Linked DNA regions of Caenorhabditis elegans. The protein of the gene in region 2 purifies or fractionates together with the protein of the main gene of each other region. This does not show direct contact. Each region holds a gene or a part of one and is shown on either strand. Other genes may lie near its edges.

Region 1 (7,011 bases), on a different chromosome or scaffold from region 2:
TTGCAATTTCTTCTCTAAAAAACTGTCCAATTCCACGTTTTTGATCATCCGTATGTCTAACAATTTGATCAACTAGCCATCCAAAAGTGTATGCATGATAACCAGTCTTTGTTCCAGGAGCCCATTTTGGCTCTTCTTCTTCAATAATTTGCCGCATTTTTTCATGATCCGCGGCGATTTCTTCAGTGATTGGAGTGTCAAACCATGCCATTCCAGACATATGAGAAAGTGCCATATTTATAGTAACATTATCTCTTCCATGAGTTCCAAATCCTGGCCAATACTTGGATACTGGGTCATCATATCTCAATTTTCCTTGCTCGTAGAGCAGTGCAACTGCTAATGACGCGGCAGCTTTTGTAGTCGAGAACGTCACTGTTATTGTGTCCTGAAACAATCAATTTTTTTAAAAATTTTTGTGTTTTGCTGATATGTCACAACTTTTTTCAAAAATGTTTTCTCTGTTTTTGTGCCATTCCATTCAATTTTATAGACTTCAAAAACCGTTTTGAACCGAAAAACTCCCCGTATCAAATTGATATTATTATCAGTTCATATCAATCTGACGACAGTGGAAAAATATATGTCGAAGCTATGAGGGAAACCGACGATAAATTATTCCAAATAAGGGCAAAGTATTAGATTGGGTTAAAGTTTGGAAATTCAGGTGCGAAATTTTGAGTCAAAAATACTGTCTCGACACGACAAGTTTCATGATTTTTTTAATTACTTAATACATTATGGAAACAAAAAAAGCTTACGAAAATAATGAGAAAACTACGATAAATCGATAAAAACTCCGCAACAACAGATGTTAAAAGTTACAGTATTCTTTAAAGGCGCACGTCTTTTCGCATTTATTATAAATGTGTCGTGGTTAAACCTATGGAACCGTATTTTTGTGTGCACCTTTAAACAGTACTGTAATTTTGAACTTATATTGCAGCGGAATTTTTCTTATCGATTTTTCGTAGTTTTTCGATAAAAACAAATTTACTTATTGGAAAAAAAACCAAATCTCGAGGAAAATTATTTTTTAATCGAAAAAAAACCTGGGGAACCGTATTTTTGGTGCAAAAAACCCAAGATTTATAGTAAAAAAGTTTGAAATTGAAAAATGCTTGATTTTATTTTTTTTGTTTTCAAAAATCTACCTCAGCCCACTTCCTTGCCGCCTGCTTATCAGCATATCCACCCCATAAATCGACGACTTTCTTTCCATCAACAAATACAGCGAATGCTGATCCTTCGATTTCCCATCCATTTTCGAAATTCTTTCTGTAAAAATACAAGTTCCAGGATTTTTGCAAGACATTTTCCTTTTCTTTTTTTTAAAATAAAATAAAGATGACGATAGAAAAAGATTATTTGCCTGTACGCATGCCGGCAAAGTAAATATTAATTTCAGTTCAGTCAAACACATTTGTCACTTCACACGGGTAGAAAAATGAGAAAAAAAGAGAGCAGGAAGGTCGAACTTACTTAAAAACCTCTCGAACTTTCTCGAAACGTTCATCGACAAATCCACTAACATCGGATTTGTGATTTGAATATAACCGATCACATACAAAGCGATAAGTTACAGATAATAAAACTGTGGCTAGAAATAGTTTGAAGAGTAGAGAAAACTGTTGCATGTTGGTGGGAACACGGAGCGGCGGGAATGGAGAGACAGAGCACACGGAGATGGGCGGTGCTTGCCTTGCCAGAAACCGTCTTTTCTCCCGGAGGAAGCGACTCCCTGTAGTTATCAGCGATTGCCTTTTTTTTGGCGGCCCTATCGGGTTGTGACGGCGTTTGGGGTGGAATTAGCAAGCCAATGGTTAGGAAGAGACACATTCTAGGGCAAACGGGGGTCGAATTAGAATGCAACCGGTTCCGGGAGGTTTATTTACTCGCATCATCATACGCCAATGAAGTACTTGTGTGTCCAAGATACACTTTAGAACAGTGTAGCCGATTATGCAATTTGATAACAATCAGATGTCCATGTTTCGCAGAAACGTTCATTCTTTTTCAAAAACGATGTATTTGCAATTTGGGACAACAAAACAATGAATGGATTATCATATAACAACAATGAGGTAACGTAACAACAAATTGATAAAAGAAGGATTTAGATGAGAAGCTTCTCAACGTCCTCCTTGATCTTCTGAATTTGAGATTTGAGCTGAGATCCTTCGTTTTGAGTGATTGAAGCAGCGATCACTGGACGAGTGACTCCACAAGCGCGTCCGAGGGCAGCCTTGCTGCGAACAAAGACGTATGGAACGTTCTTGTCTTCGCAGAGAAGTGGAAGATGGAGGAGAATCTCCAGTGGCTCGGCATCGGCGGCCATGACGATGATCTGAAACAATTCAATTAATTTGGTTCGAAAATTGATTTTGAAAATGGGAATGCAATTCAACATGGTTACGATACACTTACCTCAGAGATTCCTCTGTTGAGAGTCTTGGTGGCCTCGTTGGCTCCCTTCTTGAGCTGTTTGTAGTTCATCGCTTGCTGGACGAGATCCATGAGCTTTTGAGACAAGTTGGTATCGGCCAGTGGGAAGGCCTTCGGATTGACTCCATCATCGGCCATTTTTCTTCTTTTCTGAAATAAAGATGGTTGAAAATTGCTACAATGCGAAAGAATTATTTATCGATTCAAGAGAAAAAATAATAAAAACGATTTCAAAGCTGTAAATTCAAATTTTTACGATGATTTGCACTAGTAACATATCTGAAAGTAATAGATAATCAAAATTCCATTTATTTTTAATTTATTGTACCAACTTATTTAATTTCCGAAGAAAAATACAACGGGCAACGGGAGAAACAAAAGAAAAGAGAAAAAAACTACTTGTAATTTTCGAAAAGGGCCCAAAAAGAGACGCAGACAGTGGACGGGTCTCGCAGCGACAAGATGTTGGCACGCTGCCAAACATGCAGTGATTCTTTTTTATTCGAATTTGGCTGCATTTATTTTCGATTTAACCTGAATTTTACATGTTTTATCTGATTTTTATCGATTTTAAACGAAATTTCGATAAAAATCTAACTTTTTCTAATAGTTTATGCCTTTTCGATAGATTTTTACATGTTAATTTTGAAATTACGTCGCCGGTTTAAATTTATTGAACTACATTTTGTTTTTCTATTTTTCAAGACGAAAATTGATTATTTTATTTTCAGGAATGTCGGGGGAGGAGAAAGAAAAAGTAAAAATTCTCCATGTCGCCAACATTTCGACATCGGCTACCAGGGATCACATCTACAACATGTTCAACTATCTCGGAAAAATTCAGGATTTGAAGGTTGGTTTATTATTCCAAATTTACACATTTTTCGATTAAAAATTTCAATTAAAAATTTATTCTTTCAGGTCTATCCATCAGAAGGTAATATCACAGCTAATACTCTCCTGAAAACTGCTTTTATCAAGTTCGACGACGAGCGATGTGTCGAAGTAGCTCAGCATCTCACCAACACAGTCGTCATCGATTGCGCGATAGTCTGCCTACCATATCCGAATCGTGAGTTTTTTGAAAGCTGCATTTTTTCATAAAGTTTCATTTTTTCAGCTGTGATTCCGGACGAGGAGAGTTTTTTCAACAGTGGTGGATCTACAACGGCTGGTCAGCGACAGCTCCCACCTCACGTCACCAATAAAATTCAAGAATCTGACGATGGATCTGCTTTGGTAAGTTTATTTTCCCACTAGTTTTCCAACTAGCGTCTGGTGGTAACGGACGTTACTTGTTCATTTTACAGTTCTACTGGCCACTACCCAAATGACGAATGCAGTAAAATCCCGAAAGCGTAATCCAGAAAATCATCAAAAAACTTTGTTAGTACTCGCCGAATGATTAAATTTTCAGTTTCAGTGTATCCTCGCCAATCTATGCTGCGCATCGTCGGATATGAAAGCAATTAAATTTAGAAATTTTCAAATTCCTGATATTTTAGAAATTGCAATATTTCTAGTTTTCGCGCCGTCTAATTATTCCATTTTTCAGTTGATTACAGTCGATCCGACACTGGAGCAGCTCGGACTACCGGCTTATCCACCTCTACCGGCTGACACGGATTCTGCCAAAGTCGAAGAAATTCGAAGAACAGTCTACGTTGGAAATCTTCCGAAAGGTGTTGATGGAAACGAGGTTCTCGAACTGTTCAACATGTATTTTGGAGAGGTAGGTTAAAAACGATATTTTTGAAAGATTTATTTCTATCAATGTGCATTTATTGGCATTTTCATTCCTCTCTTGCTAGATCGACTTGCAATTGAAATTTGGCTTGACGGGCTTCCAGATCTAGAAAATATCAGTTAGAAATCAAGTTATCAGAAACATAGAAAATTACCTATCCTTGAACTTAAAAATTGTATTATCAATAAGCCATTTCTCGAAGAAAACAAAGCACATTGCTCCATAGTAAAGAAAATTGAACCAAAATGTCATCCACCAAAAGCTGCGCATCATTCCTGTTCCAATAGCCATATCGACATTCTCGATCATCGAACGGCTTCCATAACGAAGTCCGACATATGCGAATCTCAGCATATACACCACCCACGCAAGAGTACATCCGAATTCCATATAGTCTTCGAGCTGTTCCGAAAGTGGTCTCGGCAGAGTAATTTTGTTCCAATCTTTCAATCCTGCCGGAATCAACTCAAACATATCCTGACATATGGTACATTGAATGTTTGATGTTGTACGGACCCATTGCTCCAAGCATCCATTGTGAACGTAGGCGACTGTTCCGCTACAAGAGCATGGCTTGATCAGACTGTCGGAACTCTAGAAATATATTGCTAAATTAGAAATTGAAAAGAAAAATTACCGTATCGTTATCGAAACATATTCTGCAGATTACGGTTTTTGTAGAAACTTCCTTCGGTGACCGAATAGTTTCTAAGTTTCTCTCGATTATTGTGCACATAATTTCAAAACGAGTAGAAAGTTTGCAACCGACAATTTAGAAATGAATTAGAAATTTGAAAAAAATACAACATTTGTATTTAACAAAATTAAATATATTTTCACGTTTCAGGTAATGTACGCCAGAATGGCCTCGGGACCGGATGCATTGCCGTGTGCATATGCTTATGTTGAATTCTCACAGCAAGCGTCAGTGTGCAATGCACTTCAAAACGATGGATTCGAGTTTAAGGAGAGACCATTGAAGTGAGTTTAAAGTTTTAATTTTTTTAAAGGTTAATGGTGATTTTCTCAAATTCAGAAAAAAAAACCATAAAAGAAAAACAAAAAAAAATATTTTGACACAATTTTGGCTAATTTTCCGCCGTTTTTCTTTTATGGTTGTCTGTTTTTTAATTTTTAATTTTTTTAAAAATTAAAAACCCCGTCCACGCGATTCTACCTTTAAAATAAGTCAACTAAATTTTAAAACTTTTAAATCCAATAATTAAAATATTTTTCTTCAGAATTCAACACTCTCGCGTTGCCATCATCAAACCACAAGCCAAAACAGACGAACAAGCTCTTGGAGAAATCGAGGAAGCGATTCGGATGGGTAGAAACGGAGATGATCGGGATCGGCGCCGTTCGCGATCACCACGTCGTCGTCGTTCGCCGTCACCGCGTCGCAGACGGGATAGTCGTGATCGTGACCGTGACAGAGATCGTGACAGAAGGCGAAGTCGCGACCGAAGATCTAGAAGTCGTGATCGTGACCGTGATCGTGACAGGAAGAGAAGCCGTAGCAGAGATCGTAAACGCCGCAGTCGCAGTCGTGACAACAAGGATCGTGATAGGAAACGGTCGAGAAGCAGAGATCGCAGAAGACGTTCCAAATCTCGTGATCGTAAACGTGAAAGGTCTCGTTCAAGATCCAAAGATCGAAAGCGTGACAAGAAGCGCAGTCGAAGCAGATCACCTGAAAAACGACGTGATAAGGAAGATAGAAAAACCGAGAAGAAAGAAAACGAGAATGAATCTTCGCTACGTGAGAAGCTTCTCGAGAAAAAGGCCGCCCGGAAAGACTCTTCTGATGATGAATGGGAGGAAAAGCCAACACCGACTAATGGCGAGGTCAAGAATGAAGAAATTGGAAATGGAGATGTTGTCATGGCATCCGAGTGATCTATTTGTTTTATTGTTTTAAATCTTATCTTGTTTCCTGTTCAGAATCTTGATTAACCGACCACCTTCATTATTTCTGTATTTTAATTGTGAGATATTCACATCTTCCTTCGATCATTGATTTTATTCAAAACACAAATGTCATTATTTATTTCCGTAACGTAAAATGCACAAAAATAAAAATCTTAAATGTTTGCTTCGTATTTAGTAATAATTCCCCGAATAAGTTGAGGTGGAAATCGGCGACGCTCTCTACTAACACACGGAGCACAAAAATTGGCTCCGAAAAACAGTGAACAAGCATCTGACATGCAGACGGGTTGATTGCAAGCAGAGCATGGAGTTCCGAGTACCAGGAAATCGTTGAGACACGGCTTCTTGGCCCGATCACGGGATGGCGGCTTAAATGGATCCCTCATAAAGTAGACCGGAGAATCGTAGCTGAAAAGAATCAGTTTTTATTTAGGAATAAAATTAAAATTCTAATTCTTACCGTCCATCAATAACTTTAAGTTCTCCGAACAATGTTCTCTCTTTTAAATGACACACGTGGCATTCAAAATCGATAAATGGATCAATAAGTTGTGGTTGCTCTTCACTTGTCACTGCAGTGGCATTTTCAGATGTTGAAGGTTGCTGCGGCTCGTTCATTGAAATCTGGATGTAAAAATACTTGATTTTTGCTTTAAAAATTAATTTAGAAAATTCCCAGAGAAATTTATTCATTAATTAATCGACTAAAAATGAAAAAATGTCTTAATTTCGAATTTAAAATTAGTTTCGCAATAGAGCACACTTGCATCTGTAGTGGTACGATCGAAAAATGGGCGGGGTCTCTCTTTCCAGGCCTAGAAATAATTAGATTGACGAAAACAGGTATTTGACGGGTGGATTTTTTAAAAAGATTTCTTTGTAAAATT
Region 2 (7,511 bases):
TAACCCTCATAAAAAGTTACAATAAGGTTTTTCCTTGCGCTTGGAGCGCAAAAGAAAAGAAAAAGAGCTATTTAGACTTAGGGTGCCCAACTGGAATAAAACATTGGAAATCCCAATCCAACCAGCCTAAGGGCCCGAAAAACATACTAAGATGCTCAACTTGAATAAAATATTGGAAATCCTTATGACACACTTAAGCCTAAGGGCCCGAAAAAACTAGGGTGCCCAACTGGAATAAAATATTGGAAATCCTTATGACACACCGGCGGTATGGCGCGGCTTAAGCCTAAATAGCCACTTTTATCAAAATACATTTGAGCGAGGCGGTTGTAAACGCTCCCCCGCTGACGCCAAGCCTAAACCTAATCTTATGCCTAAGCCTAAGCATAAGACTAAGCCTAAACCTAAAAATCATCAGAGTCAACATCACTGTTCCCTGCATTTGCAAGTCGTCGGCACGGCCACAGACGTCCACCTACAACTACAGTACCCAGCACAACTTTGGAGCTTATCACTGAGCCAACTTCCACTGAAAGTAATCGATTTGTTTATCAGATTTCAAAAATCAGCACTCCTTGATGTTTCAGCGATTCCAATAACTACAACGACAGCAGAAACAACCACAACAACATCTGAAGAGCCTACAGTAACCGAAGAAACGACGACGGAGCTCGTCACTGACGTCACAATTGCTCTGCCAGACGAGGAATTTGAAGATATTAACGCAAAAATCGAAACGGAGAACCATCAGTTGCATCAGATAGAGGAGAATGTTATTTCAGGTAGGTCAAGTGGCCTAGAAATTCGCAAGTTAGGCCACCAAACGATTTAGGTTTTCTAACTAGAAGGCCGCGTAAAAAAATTAGTGAAAATTCGGCCAGCCATTCTCCTTTAATTTTACATGCTTCCGTTTGGAGTGTGGTCGAGGTTTCTTACTAGAAAACCTAGGCCACGGTAAAGTATTTAATTTTAACTGTTTTATATCAGTAAAACATTCGGGAGAATGAAAAATGAATATTGCTGAAATTTTAACGGTAATTTTCGAAAAAAAAAACACAATTTTTTAACTCTCACCACGATTTCTATGAAATTCAAAGTTCGTGGCAAGACCCAGATTGAAAAAAAATCGATGATTTCCAGCCCTATCCACGCCAACATCTACAATATCCGCATCACCAAGTCCACCATCACCACTTCCGACGACTTCTGGTCCATCACCACCATCACCACCTGCGCCTCCACACGAATTCTCTCTCCATGGGGCCGGGCCGCCCGGTTTAATGCCTCCATCGGATGATATTGTCGACGAATTGAATGGTTCTTCTGATTTCTTGCAGGCCGCTCAGAGGCTTCACTTGCTCAGAAGACTTCTTCAATGATTTATGTGTAATGAGCATCATAATAATCATCAGAATAACTTTCCAGATACTCAAAAAGTCGTTTAGTTTAGTGTTTTTTGTGATTTTTGAAGATTTCTTAATATTTTCAACCCATTTGTTGTTACGGGTTTATGAGTCGATTCCAGTGAATAAAGGTTTTTTTAATTAAATATTTATTTTTTCCTTTTGTTTGACTTAAATTTTGTTTCAGAATCGTTTGAAAAAACTTATAGTTATGTAATTAAATTTAATAAAAAAACAAACAAAATCAACTTTTAAAAAAACTACCGTATCCACTTAAAGGCGCATCCCTCATAGATATGGGTATATATATATCATGATATGGGTCTTACCACGCTTAACCTCTGCGCCTTTAAACAAAGGGTACGGCAATTAAACAGTTTCAATTTTTGATTTTCTCATGCTTTTCTCGATAAGATAATCCCTGAAAATAAAAGCTTTTTGAAACCAATTTTTATCTCAACATTTTTTTTTGGAAAGGACAACATAACAAATAAGGAAAACAACAAGGGCAAAGAATTGTAAAAAGAAAAAACAAGTGATTACGATAAAAATTAATTTGAGGAGGAGACAGTTTTTGTGTTTGAAGAGATTTCAGATAGAATGTGTTAACAATGGGGAAAATCTGATAAACCTGATACTAGCAAGAAATAACGAGTCAAATCAACAAGAACATACAGTCTTCGTGGTACAGAAACACGAATTACAACAAAAGAAACGGATTATCACTCTCGTCGGCACCCCAATTGCATCTATTCTTCATCAGAATCAGTATCGGCCTTCTTTGCTTTCTTTTCCTTCTTCTTCTTTTTCTTCTCTGGCTCTGCTTCATCTTCCTCCTTAACCTCTTCGATCTTCATCTTCTTGATTGCGTTCGTGCTTTCCTCGTTATCATCGAATCTCTTGTGCTTGCGACTGGCTGGAGTGTCAGCAGACGCGTCGTATTCGTATGTTTCACTCTTGAACTCGTACTTGTCGTGTCGGTGGGATCCAAAGCTCTTATTTTTGGATGGCCCACGTTCTGATTCGGTTCTGAGCACGTTCTCAAGGGCGGCACGGCATTCGATTCCGATCTCGTTGGTGGCGGATTCGTCGGAAAGTGCGTCGATACGAGTGGCAAGAGAGCACTTGGCAGCGAGCTTACGAGCCATCTGGAATTAAAAAAAAAAAATTTTTAAGGTCCTTGCCGATTTTTAAGTTTAACAGAAAAATCAATAAAGTATTTAACTAACCTTTCCCTTGACCTTTGGTGGGGCTTGTGTGATAAGTTGAGCGTGGTAGATCAATCCGTACTTTGGAGTATCCTTCTTCGTCTTGAGAGCACGGAAAAGAGCCTTCTCGGCTCCAAGAATTTGAATCGTCGAGGCTGGTGCCTTGGCCAACGAAACGAGAGATCCAGCGTGAGAAATGAGACGGGCTCCGACGAGCTCTCCGAGAAGAACTGTGAGATTTGGAGCGAGAGCAGTCATGCGATTTTTGAGGTAGTCGAAGAGTTGAGCACTGAAAAAATTTAAAAAATAATTTGTTTTGAATAAGAAATTGTATAAATTCACTAACCGGTAGGCAGAGAGCTCGATGACCTGGTCACAAAGACCCTTGATGTGAATGAGATCAATATCAGAAATGTCAGTTCCCATTGAAATCTCAGCATCCTCTTTGACCTTCTCCTCCAACTCCTCTGGAAGAATCGATGACAAATCGGTGTTGATGCAGTTCTGTCGCATGCCAATGGCCTTGATAATCTGAAAATTAAATAATTTAATACGGATAATTCACCACTGTGAGCCTACCTTAGCATAAGCTTGATGATCTTGGATAGTCTTTCCGAGCTCTGGGAAATGCCATCCGTACCATTCTCTGACACGCATAACATAGTTGTTCAACTCCTTGTCAAGATCATCGAGCAAAGAAACAGCCTGCACGATCATGGTGTCGATCTTTTCTGGGTTGAATTTGACCTTGTAACGAGCGAGCGAGTGAGCCACGGCGAGATTCATGGCATTCATCTCTTCCTTGTGCTCGGCGAGCAAGTCTTCGATATGAGCGCGAACTCCTCTCATCAGCTCGTTGATGGAACTGTCATGGACGCAATTCAAAGAGAGCTTCTCCTTGATCAAGTTTCCGAGCTTGGCATCACCGACAGCCAATTTTTCGGTCTCGTCGACGCTCGACTTCAAAAGCTTCTTTAACGTCTTGCTGAGCTTTCCCTCTGTGATCTCGGAAGTAGCCTCGACGGCTCCAGCGGTAGTCTTGAACTTCTTGAAAGAAACCAGTTGCAAGCTGTAAGAAAAACAGTTTTAAAAAATGAATTTAATTTCTAATATATACTTTTCTTGAGCCTTCTCGGCAGTGCTGAACTCCTCCCAGATGTTATCCACATTCTTCAGCTTCTTCTCATTGCTGAGCTTGAATACTGCATAACCGGCTGCGACCTCGAAAAGGACCAGCATCTTCTTACCTGTAAAATAGCAAATAAAGTAATGAACCGGTTAAGAGAATAAGGACATCATAAGATAAGATTAAAGACGTAAAATCGATATTTTTAAATTACACTCTGAAAATAAAGTTTTTAGACTGATTTTTCAACATTTCAGGGATATTTTTGACAAAACTACATTTAAATTATCATTTTATACACTTTCCTTCAAAAATTTAGATAAAAACTTGGAAATTTGGCTGAAATTATTCGAAAATAGGACCAGTTTAGCCAAAAAAAGAGGAGAAAATATCGCTGGCAGACAGCCAAAGAAAACAATCGTTGCGAGACCCGCGCGCGGGAGTTTGAAATCAACGCCTGTGTACTCCTCTCGGACAAGTCGTTCCACACAAATATTCTCGCAGATTAATCTGCAGATTTTCGTGTGATTAATTGATAAATCTGTGAAAAACTTCGAAACCGGATGTTTTTCTCGTGGAATGTTGCAGAACAATTGACTTCTTCGAAATTGGATCTTAAAAATGTAATTTTTTCCTTCAAAATATGAAAAAATACCGGCAATTTCCTTGCTTGCAAACTTTTTTATGGCGAAAAGAGAATTTTCGCCATATATTTCTGTATTTTGCACATTCTTCTCGTTGAATTATGCTTTAACATAGCTAGAATTGATTTTTCTTCGAAGCGAAAACCTTACAATTTAAAAAATCGATAATTAATATATTTCACGTGACATTTCGATTTTAACTTATTAAAAATTCAACTTTTTTCATATAATTCTAGAATTTTTGCTTGTTAAAAGCTTTTTTTTATCTTTAAAAATAAATCTCTTCGTTAATTGCTCTTTTTTGCCAGTTCACCGGTCGATTTTGCTCATTTTATCAGAAAATCAGTTCCCATAACTTTTCTGCAATTATTTTCTCGATTTTCTCCTCAAAAATTCAGAATTTCCAACCGGAAAATCCCCATTTAGAAGAAAGTATTGCGAAAACCCGAAAATTCGGTGCGAAACGCGTCAGCACTGCCCATGTTGACGCAAATCGGTTTTCTCGAACATTTTCGCAAAGCCGAGTGATTCATAAGGTCATGCCACTCACTTTTGACCCGCTTTTACCCGCATTTTTGATTTTCTGGAACGTATTTCCATAGATTTTTAGTTAAAAGTATAAATTCGCAACGAAGATTCAAAATTTAAATAGTCAGTGTAAATATCGATTTTTTGAAGATTTCGAAGAAAACCAATTAAATTGATTTTTTTCCAGAATGTACAACTACAACTACTCCCGAGGAAATAAATCGATGGGAAATCCGCCTCGATTTCACGAGTTAACGGATATGCCGGATAATGGAGCGTCGACGTCGGCGGCCGCTGGAATGTTCACAAGACAAGTGAGATTTTTGGAAGTTTCACGGAAATGGAGATCTGCGAAACATTTTTCTCGAAGAAAATATTATAACAATGCTCCGAAATCATCCCCTGAAAAAAATGCTAAACAAAACATTATGATGACAGAATTTACTGAAAAAGTTGAGGCTGCGACTCAGCTCAATTAAAAAAGTTATTTTTAATTTTTCGCTCATTTTAAGCAAAAAGAATCAGCTAAAACGTTGAAAAATCACTGGGCGAAAAAACGGAATAAAATAAATATTTTATTCGAGCCGCTCCGCTGTGCAGTTGCGTCGCGGTCATGGCCGCGGACTAGGTTCACAAATTTGAAATTCTGCCATCTCAAGAAATTAAAAAATTTTAAATTAAAAAATATTTTTCTTTGAAGAAAATTGCACCGTGCCAAATTTTCTTCAAAAAAATTTTAAAACGAAAAATTTCAGGACTCACTTGCTCTCGCCGCATCCCTCCAACAACGTGATCGGGAACGAAATCCTGTGGATTTTATGGAAACCCAGCTGGATCTGGATAATTATCTACAATGCTTTACCGATTTGGATGTTCCTGCGGATAATGTCGACTTAAATGATGCTGAACTTCAAAAAGCAAATATTCTCTACGATGATGACTCTTACGAGCAGCCGCAACTAAATCCATACGAACGGCACGTGGCTTATGGCCCCGGTTTTCGAAATCCCGGTGAATACGAGGAACAAGACGGATATAAAATGAATTTCGAGGTGAAGACCGAGGAGGAGAAGAAGCCGGAAACGATGAAAACTTCGAAAACTATGACAACTCGCCGAGCTATTAAACGACCTTCGTGTTACGACGATTATCAGGAAGAAGGAGAAACATCGCTTTCGGATAACGATGAAAGTGTCGATGATTCTTATTACAAACCAAAAAGTTCCAAAAAGACTGCTGCAGCGGTACCAAATTTCGTGCCAAAAACCAAGGCTCGAAAATACAATCTAAAGCCGGATAAGGAGAAAGTGGAGCCCATCTATAAATTGAAACGGGCTCGAAACAATGATGCCGTCCGGAAAAGTCGAAATAAAGCGAAAGAGCTGCAACTGCAGAAGGACGAGGAGTATGATGAGATGAAGAAAAGGATTACACAACTTGAAGCAGAACTACAATCCGAGCGGGAAGGCCGGGAACGTGACCAACAACTTATCAAGCAACTAATTCGCGAAAAGTGAGGTGCCAGTAGCGAATATTTCTATATTTTTTAATTTGGAAATTTTCAGGGAATCGACATCGAAAGGACCAAGGAAAAGCTCTCGAAATGCACTGGAAAGCTTTAATAAATCAAATTATTGATTCTTTTTTTCTTGATTGCTTCGTTTTAGATTCCATTTCTTATGTATCAATGTAATCGCACCCCTTCCCCGGTTGGAAAATAATTTTGAAATTACTCATTCCATTCTTAACCCAGTCTATGTTTGTGTAATAACATGTTTATATATTGCGAAAAATTGTATATTTATTTTAGGAAAAAAGAATTGACTAGAATACTGGGACATGGGGACAAAACATGGATTTCGAAAAAGAAAAAGAAAACCTGAACTTTGAAAGCTATACCCAAAATTATATATGAGAAATGAAAATTATACTTTACATAATGAAAGGAACAATTTTCTTCTCAAACTTCTTGAATTTCTCCAGCCTTTTCGGCGCCTTCACCGTCTCATCACACCGCCCATCAACACATTGACCCCAGTAACAAATAGGATAATCCTCGAATCCTCTGCAAACTCCGTTTCGACGAACTTTGCTCACACAGCTCGGCGGATGCTCGTTATTTGGAGGAATGTAGCAGAATAGATAACTGGAAAAAAGATGAAAATTGGATTTTTAAAGCAAACATTTAGTTTTAAATCGGCTGGGAGCTGTTCCTAGGATAAATTTGGGCGTCAATCTGCAAATATTACGGGAACACTAAGTTCTGAGAATGGGTATTGCACAACATATTTGACGCGCAAAATATCTCGTAGCGAAAACTACAGTAATTCTTTAAATGACTACTGTAGCGCTTGTGTCGATTTACGGAAATCATATTTTAATCGATGAAATATTAATAGAAAAACTGTAGAAAACATCTTCCACATTTTGAACGGAAATTCGTTTCAAAAGGTAAGCCCTTAAATCGACACAACCGGTACAGTAGTCCTTTAAAGAATTACCGTAGTTTTCACTACGAGATATTTTGCGCGTCAAATATGTTGTGCAATACGCATTCTCAGAATTTTGTGCTTCCGTAATATTATACGCGCAAAAAGGAAAG
Region 3 (7,511 bases), on a different chromosome or scaffold from region 2:
GATGTTCGATTATTATTTTTGTTTTATTAATATACATATGTTCACACTAGAATCTCTGCCTTTTTTCCTCGTCCCCAAAATTACCCTTTTCATGCAATTTTTAGATTAGAATAACGAAAAAACGGCTTGAAGTTAATGATGGTTGAATTTTCAGAAAGGGTGGTGGTCTTTTTCTGTAAATTCGACGTTTTCTGCCCGCTTTTTCGTTATTTTAAAGACTTGTACATCCGATAGATCGATTGCGCCATTTTCGACGTATTCCTCCGTGTATAGAAATCTTTTTAAATTGTGTGAAAACATTTAAAATCGCGCTAGATGTCTTTGTCTATTTATCGTTCCCATAACCTTTTTTCAATTTTGCGTCCTTGTTATCTGATATCATTACGATTTGTAGAGGTTTCTCTTTCATTCCCCTTTTACCAATTCGCAATAAAGAACGCGTCATTTGATATACTGAATTTCCAAATTTTTATTAACATCACAGATTTGGATATTACGTAATCATCAGAAAGATATAATTTCTACATTTGTAGCGCGTAATATCTCATAGCGACTTTCTACCGTATAATTGAACTGAAAAATAATTAGTACGGTAGAAAGTCGCTAGAAGATATTTCGCGCCACATAAATAGGAACTCTTTTAACGGTTTTGCAAAGACTTTCTATATACTGAAACAATTGTGCAACTTAAATTTATTGAACAACGTCGGGTTCGGGGGATATTTAAACGTTTACAAAATAATGCAGAATGGATAGTTTGATGCTTCCAGAGGAGGAGAAAAGTGAAAGGTCTAGGTTAAAAAAGAGGGAGTCGTCAATTATAAAAAAACATAATAAATTTTCAAAAGGAGAACGGAGGACTGAACCGTGAGGGAAAATCGAAGAAAATTTAGAAAATGGGAAAAGTCGAGATATTGTACAAAAACAAGGCAGAACAAAAAATGAAGATTCGAAGAAATCATCAGTTAATTTTCGAAGCATTACTATAGAGTGCATCGACAACCTCTCCCATTGCATGAATTGTATCCAGAGCAGTTTGGTACGCCTCATCGGGAACAGCAATTTCAAATACAATAAGCATTCCCTCGCCTTGATCAAGAGATCCCGAAAGTTTTTGATCGAGAATCATTTGGGACAACTTCTTTTCGACCTGAAAGTTTTATAAGTTTGTGTAAAAATTAACAACTTTTTTGCATTTATATTTAAAAAACAATATTTTTGGTTCTTACCTTTGATCTATCAATTCCAATCTGTTGAGCAACATGTTCAATTTGAACGAATGAGTATGGCTCAATAATACGGCACAGATCTTTTTCAAGCATTCGTTCACTCAAAGAATGGAAATGTTTTCGGACAACTGGATCCATTTGAAGTTCCTGTGGGAAAGAACCGAATGCAACTTGGAAATCCTTAAGAGATCTCTTTTGTGCAGCTGCGGCGATCGCCTTCATCGCATCCAAATCAGAACCATTGTATTTAAGAGCAAGTTTTGCGGACAGAAGACTGTTCACCTCATCTGGAAGGTCAAGCATCACCTGAAAAATTTAATATAGGATTTAAATATAATAGTAATTATTTTTGAGTATTACCTTGCACAGAAGCATATACTTAAGAGCGGTGAGGGCGGACACTTTTTCATCAACCGAATCGTATCCCTCAAATGCTTCGTAAAAGTATGAGAAAGCTGTCTTGAAGTCCTTCTCGTCGGCAGCGTGAAGAATTCCCGATTGAAGATCGAGAGCTGCTTGCATGCGAGGATTCACATAGATTGCGTTGGCAGTTGTACGAGCACCAGTGAGAGAAGCACGAGCACGACCAATATTGGAAAGATTATAGTACGCTTTGCTTTCCTCAAGTTCGACTTCCACGAGAACGTCCTTATCGTCGACTTTTTTCAGTTCACGAATCAAATCGGCAGCTGAAAAGTAGATTATCAGTTATTTTCAAATATTACAGCGAAATATATTACCAAGTGGAAGAGCCTGAGTGTATCTTTGAAGATCATTATAGAGGCGAACAAGACGAGCAGTGAGTGTTTGACGGAGGAAAGTGCGATTTTGCTCGGTGGCCCATTGAATACATTCTTTAACGAGTCCAACCTGAAAATAGTTGGGTTTATATTTGAAGCTTATTATTCTGCTCACCTTAATATCTCCATCTTGATCATCAATTTTAAGACATAGATCAACAAGATCTCTGACAAGTTTTGCAGCCTTTGCCTTTCCCAATGACACCAAAAATGGCCTCGTTTGTTCAATCATATTTCGGAGCTCTTCAGTTTGCTTATTTTGAGCCAAAATATTTCCCAATTCCATGATCGAATCTTCTTTCTTCTTGATATCATCGTCCCCAGATGCTGGTGATTTTACTTCAATTTGGGACAAATTGGAAAATTCTGAAATATGGAAAAGGACTCACCGAGATTGGTGAGGTGACGAATGACGTTTTGGTCGTTTTGATGTGGAAGTGAAGTCATTGTATCCATAATGGTTCCTCCAGACATTTCAGGTGCTGAAATTAAGATTTTAATTGCAGTAAAAAGTATTGAATTTTATGGGGTTATTCAAGTAATGTAGCAAAATGTATTAAAATACATTTGTGACGTCACAAATGTATTTAAATACATGTTTTTGTTTACTTGAATACAGCTGTGACGTAACTTTTCTACACTTTTTAATTTTCCGACACTACTTGAATAACCCCATTAAAAATGAAATAACGGAATGGAAATTGTCGGAGCCTCAGAAATCAATAAGTGCTTGCGGAAAACACACCAACTGATTATATCATTTTAAAATATGATAATTATCATTTAATTGATCAATTATCAAAATATAAACGGATAAAACATTAGAAAACTGGTAAGAAACAGAGAGTAAGACAATGACGATGACAATTCCCGCCAGCGTATTTTTCCCGGTGTGGTACGGTACACAAATGGTGTTTGCGGACTTGAAGGTGACGCGAAAATGCACAGAACAGAAAATTCAACAAAATGTTGTTTAAAATACAAATAAAGCTTATTTTTTTCGGGTTGATTAAAAAAATTCGAGTTTATTAAAAATTTACTTTCTCGTAACAATATGTTCTTCGTTGTGGTTAAATTGCACTGATAAAGACCAATAAGGTCAAGCCGCCAGTTTAACTGAAAACGGGGAGCCCTGAAAATAAAGAGTTGTTTTCGAACACCAGCATCGGGGAGCTGACTATGAGCAAATAGCGGGCTCGTATGTAAAAGAGCGGTTAGCACGTGAATTTTTGAGAGTCCTCTTGGGGGAAAAGTGGTGAATTTTAAAATGCTGTGTGGAGATCCAAAAAAAAATCAATGCAGGCATGCATGAAAAACAGGTTGATCAAAAACTTATTCTTTTTTGGAATACAAAATTGACTTTAAAACACCAAGTGCAAATAAATAATATTGAATTAACTCTTTTTCACTTTCAAGAGGTAAAGTTCAGTTTTTCAATAAAAAACGTACCTTTTCCAATATTATTAGTGTCTTCTCGTGAACTCGTTTCTCTCATTAGGACGAAAAGTTGTGTCAATTAAAATAATTTTTTGAAGCAGCTTCGAGGATGTCAAAACTTCAATGTAGATTTCTTTCATATATTTCTGAGCAGCTGACTCTCATTTTCAACTAAAAAACAACTAGTTATTTGGCACATGTTCTGGGTCTCGCCACGACTTATCCCCAAGATCCAATACATTCGTTTCAGAGAAATCTCACTTGATCCCTCGAAATGTTTGTCGTTCCTCGTCGTCTGTCATCTTTTTTATCACTAGGTAATTGATAAATTAAATGATTGTATCATCTCACACTCTAACCGTCTGGTGTCTTTTCATCTCACACGATATATGTATTTCTCTTATCATCTGTTTCTATTTCCTACGGTCATTCGGTCATATTCAGTTCACGAATATCGTCACTTGGCACGTAGATCATACGTTATGGAGACACCATCTATTGATATTCAAAGTGAGTTTATAATAATTTTTTACCAATAATTCTTGATTTTTCAGACATTCGGGCAAAATATCTAAACTCTCATGATCCATATCTACTCGAATCAAAGTTACCAACCACGTCACCATTCGAACTTTTTGATATCTGGTTTCGTAACGTCGCTTCACAATCTGACTTAACATTCGAAGAAATCAATGCAGTATCCTTATCCACCGTCGGAAAGTGAGCATATTACATTCAAAATGGAGAAAAAAACCTAGAAAGTATTAATTCAGAGATCTTCGTCCATCATCCAGAATGGTTCTTCTGAAAGCGTACACACCAACTGGCTTCTCGTTTTACACAAATTATACTAGCCGCAAAGGAAATCAATTGGAAGAGAATCCGAATGCCGCGATGCTCTTTTATTGGCCTAAAGTCAATCGTCAGGTATAATTTTCAACTGCTGAAAATTTGAAATCGAGATTATTTAATTTCAGATTCGAGTTGAAGGTGTTGTTGAGAAGCTTCCAGATGAGATGGCCGTCGCTTATTGGAATTCTAGACCAGTAGCAAGTCGAATCGGATCAAAATCAAGTGATCAATCAAAAGTGGTTCCCGATAGAGAATTCTTAGAATCCAAAAAAGTTGCACTGACAGAGTTATCTGTACGGGAAGGAGCTCAAGCAATCACGAAACCAGAATCCTGGGGTGGATATCATTTGATTCCTCGATATTTTGAATTCTGGCAAGGACAATCGGATCGTCTTCACGATAGAATAGTATTCGAAAGAGATGTTGATGTGTGGCTTCTCAAGAGGCTTTCACCATAATTCCATTCACTTCTATAGTTAAAGTTCGTGTAGATAAAAATTAAAAATATTTTCCTTGAGAAATACGTCGTATTTATTTATGAATTAGACCATAAAATTTTTTCTTACCAACGGAATTACTTCAACAAAAAATTACAAGTTAAAATGAATCAAATTAATCACAATGTATCCTGTTATATTCTTAATCACTTGTGAATTAGTTCTCGAATTATAATTTAAAGAATATGTATTTGATTCTTTAATGATCATTTTCATTTCCGAGTTATTTCAAATCAAAATGTCAATTGAAAATTTCAATTTGAAATAATAGCCCATAGAAAGGTAGGCTATCATTTTCCGAGGTTTGAATAACTTCAAGAACACCGCTTTTGAAGTTGTATTTTTTAGAGAAGAATATAGAATTAAAAATGCTAATAAATTGCAAAATTGTATTATTTACAGAAACAAAAATAAATGGTACATGATATTTTGAGAAAAACAGGGGAATGTTTCAAGAAATAATATTGGGACGAATATTGAGATTACACGAGTATTTAAAATACATGAATTGACTCGCAAAATGGGGAATTGATATACAAAGTGATAGCTTAAGTGAACTTGAGATAATCTGGTACGTAAGTAAATATATAATAATTATTATGCTGAAAGTGATAATTTTCTGGTTTTCTACGAACTTTTACAGTAAGCTTATCTGGAAGGCCTTCAATTTAAACCGACTTCGGTGCAGCATCTGCTGGATTCGTATCTTCTGGAGTTTTTCGTGTAGTAGATACAACCAGAGGTGACGATGTTTGGTTTGGCGATGGACACGGGAGAATAGTGTAGATTCGACGCATTTCTGAACCCAGAAGTCCTTGCTCTTTGATTTCCAGATATTTTCGGTACAGCTTCAGTGCATATCTCGCATCAACCACCGAGTCGTGAGCTTCCATTTGTATAGTTTCGCCTGAAAAATTTATATTTAAAATCTGAACCGAGCTAGACAAGCGAAGTTAAAGGAAAGGCCTCACCAAGAATCTCCTTAACCAGAAACTGCAATGATAACATTCTCTGGGTGCCAAGACGCATCAGAGTCACTGTGTCGATTATCTGTGATTCTGCCACCTGAAAATTAGCTTTTTAGCTAGAACTTTGCAAAAACAATCTTACATGCACATTGAGCACTGTGAAATCATTATGCAGAGCGTGTCCTACAAATGTGACTCCTCGTTGAATCAAAACATGCATTCGTAGAAGAAGCCGCTTGTGGGTTGTCAAGTATTTCTCGGAAGTCGTTGGACACAGATCAGCTTTCACGATTCCACTGAAAAAAAGTGAATAAAGATTGAATTCGAAATAAGTGAAGCATACCTAAACTTCGTGAGATAGTCGACAACTTCTACGTCATCAGTGAGCTTCACGTGATCGTCGAATATGATCCTTTCGCCTGTCGAGTCGACACAGGAGGCTCGACCAACTGCTCTCATCTGCACGGTTTTTCCGTCGAATTCAAGTAGATCGGTCTGTAAATTGAATTTTTTTTTACTAAATTCCGGATTTTTAAATATAGGGTATTCGAAACTTAGTTACTTACCTTAATCTTTATAAACTCTGCATCCAAACCGACTAATTCCTTCTCTTTCGGCAGCTCTTCCAATGATTGAACGGCCAATGACGTCATCCCGTTGCTCGCCAAATTTTCTTCCGCGAGGAACAAATCATTGGAAATAATATCCTCACTCGTTTTCACATCGAAGTTCTTCTTTTTATAAGCCAAAAGCGCGGGAAGTTTCCATCTTCCGTCTATGTGCCTTGCTTCATGATCATGCAATCGGCTCACTAGCTGCTCATTGATTAAAGTCCAGGACGATGAAATAACGGGACTTTCTCTCAACAATGTAACTGGATGAGTCCAATTTACATCGTTTTCTCCATTACCAACAGCATGAATCATCGCATCAAGCTCATAAATCACAGCAGACGGCTCATCATAGTCTGGGAGATCCGAAACATCAGACAAACGAACAATCCCCTCGCAAAGTTGAGCAGCGATTCTGGATGGAATGTAGTGTGCCCACTCTGGTAAATCCACGTCTTCAAGAAGTTTTGTCTGTTCTGCAGGCCAATCGACGAGTCCATGAACAAACTTGCATGTTTTCCTAAATTATCAAGATATTTTAATATGAACAGAATTACAAATTGAATTACTTGTTGCGACAATCCGTTCCAAATCTGCAATTTTTCTTCTCAGAAGGTGACTCTGGCACCGTTCCTAATGCAGAACTTCGATTGCCTCCTGGTTTTCGTTCAAAGAGAGATAATTGCCGACGCCAAAACTCAACAAATCCATTCGATGAAGCGTTTGTGTCAATTAGAAGAACGGGGGAGAGCTCCCGAACTTTTCTCTTACACTCCATTCGGCTCTGAAATTTGAATTGTTTATTTAATTTTTAAAAAAATGGACAAACCATCTGCTTGCAGTCTTCACACTCAATTTCTCCAGAATCATCTCCGATATGCAATGACTTTTCAATAAGTTGGCAAAGCGATGCTTGATAAACTGGAGCATAGTTTAGTTTGAGAAGATGATCCGTGACAGATTCTTGCTGCTGGAGTCCCCGACAACGAATACATCGGAGATGACGATCGAACTTTGAGCAAATTGAACCCGAAGCATCTGAACAACGAAATTTGAACAAAAAACGTTGGAAATTGTTTTATGTTCAAAAATACCTGTTCGAGCGACATCATCGATC

What was found.
Region 1: the proteins of nol-58 (region 2) and snu-13 fractionate together in Caenorhabditis elegans (co-fractionation; one large-scale study listed by BioGRID). This does not show direct contact.
Region 3: the proteins of nol-58 (region 2) and rpn-6.1 fractionate together in Caenorhabditis elegans (co-fractionation; one large-scale study listed by BioGRID). This does not show direct contact.

Annotation. Positions count from the first base shown.
Region 1 is NC_003280.10:10,656,032-10,663,042, forward strand, and holds snu-13 (Small nuclear ribonucleoprotein associated homolog 13), read right to left. Parts: upstream 2,596-7,011; 5' UTR 2,584-2,595; coding exon 2,428-2,583; intron 2,348-2,427; coding exon 2,117-2,347; 3' UTR 1,996-2,116; downstream 1-1,995. Other genes in the region: lact-3 (Beta-lactamase-related domain-containing protein), read right to left, coding at 1-388, 1,155-1,278, 1,483-1,637; rsp-7 (putative splicing factor, arginine/serine-rich 7), read left to right, coding at 3,179-3,298, 3,367-3,517, 3,566-3,684, 4,001-4,177, 5,040-5,173, 5,434-6,091; marc-2 (RING-CH-type domain-containing protein), read right to left, coding at 4,216-4,297, 4,347-4,786, 4,830-4,928; D2089.8 (Cysteine-rich DPF motif domain-containing protein 1), read right to left, coding at 6,277-6,532, 6,585-6,742. UniProt on the Caenorhabditis elegans protein: Binds to the 5'-stem-loop of U4 snRNA and may play a role in the late stage of spliceosome assembly. The protein undergoes a conformational change upon RNA-binding.
Region 2 is NC_003279.8:3,263,441-3,270,951, reverse strand, and holds nol-58 (Nop domain-containing protein), read right to left. Parts: upstream 3,859-7,511; 5' UTR 3,851-3,858; coding exon 3,729-3,850; intron 3,681-3,728; coding exon 3,191-3,680; intron 3,143-3,190; coding exon 2,958-3,142; intron 2,901-2,957; coding exon 2,633-2,900; intron 2,552-2,632; coding exon 2,153-2,551; 3' UTR 1,840-2,152; downstream 1-1,839. Other genes in the region: pqn-72 (Prion-like-(Q/N-rich)-domain-bearing protein), read left to right, coding at 419-535, 588-782, 1,141-1,379; Transcription factor zip-4, read left to right, coding at 5,098-5,223, 5,665-6,422, 6,475-6,547; tyr-5 (Tyrosinase copper-binding domain-containing protein), read right to left, coding at 6,842-7,055.
Region 3 is NC_003281.10:6,958,430-6,965,940, forward strand, and holds rpn-6.1 (putative 26S proteasome regulatory subunit rpn-6.1), read right to left. Parts: upstream 3,573-7,511; 5' UTR 3,525-3,572; coding exon 3,479-3,524; intron 2,512-3,478; coding exon 2,419-2,511; intron 2,369-2,418; coding exon 2,145-2,368; intron 2,100-2,144; coding exon 1,970-2,099; intron 1,919-1,969; coding exon 1,590-1,918; intron 1,536-1,589; coding exon 1,230-1,535; intron 1,151-1,229; coding exon 962-1,150; 3' UTR 681-961; downstream 1-680. Other genes in the region: F57B9.1 (Putative pyridoxamine 5'-phosphate oxidase), read left to right, coding at 3,949-3,976, 4,021-4,186, 4,240-4,393, 4,444-4,776; PolyA-specific ribonuclease subunit panl-2, read right to left, coding at 5,484-5,722, 5,787-5,880, 5,926-6,079, 6,127-6,278, 6,350-6,914, 6,964-7,178, 7,224-7,432, 7,489-7,511. UniProt on the Caenorhabditis elegans protein: Component of the lid subcomplex of the 26S proteasome, a multiprotein complex involved in the ATP-dependent degradation of ubiquitinated proteins. In the complex, rpn-6.1 is required for proteasome assembly.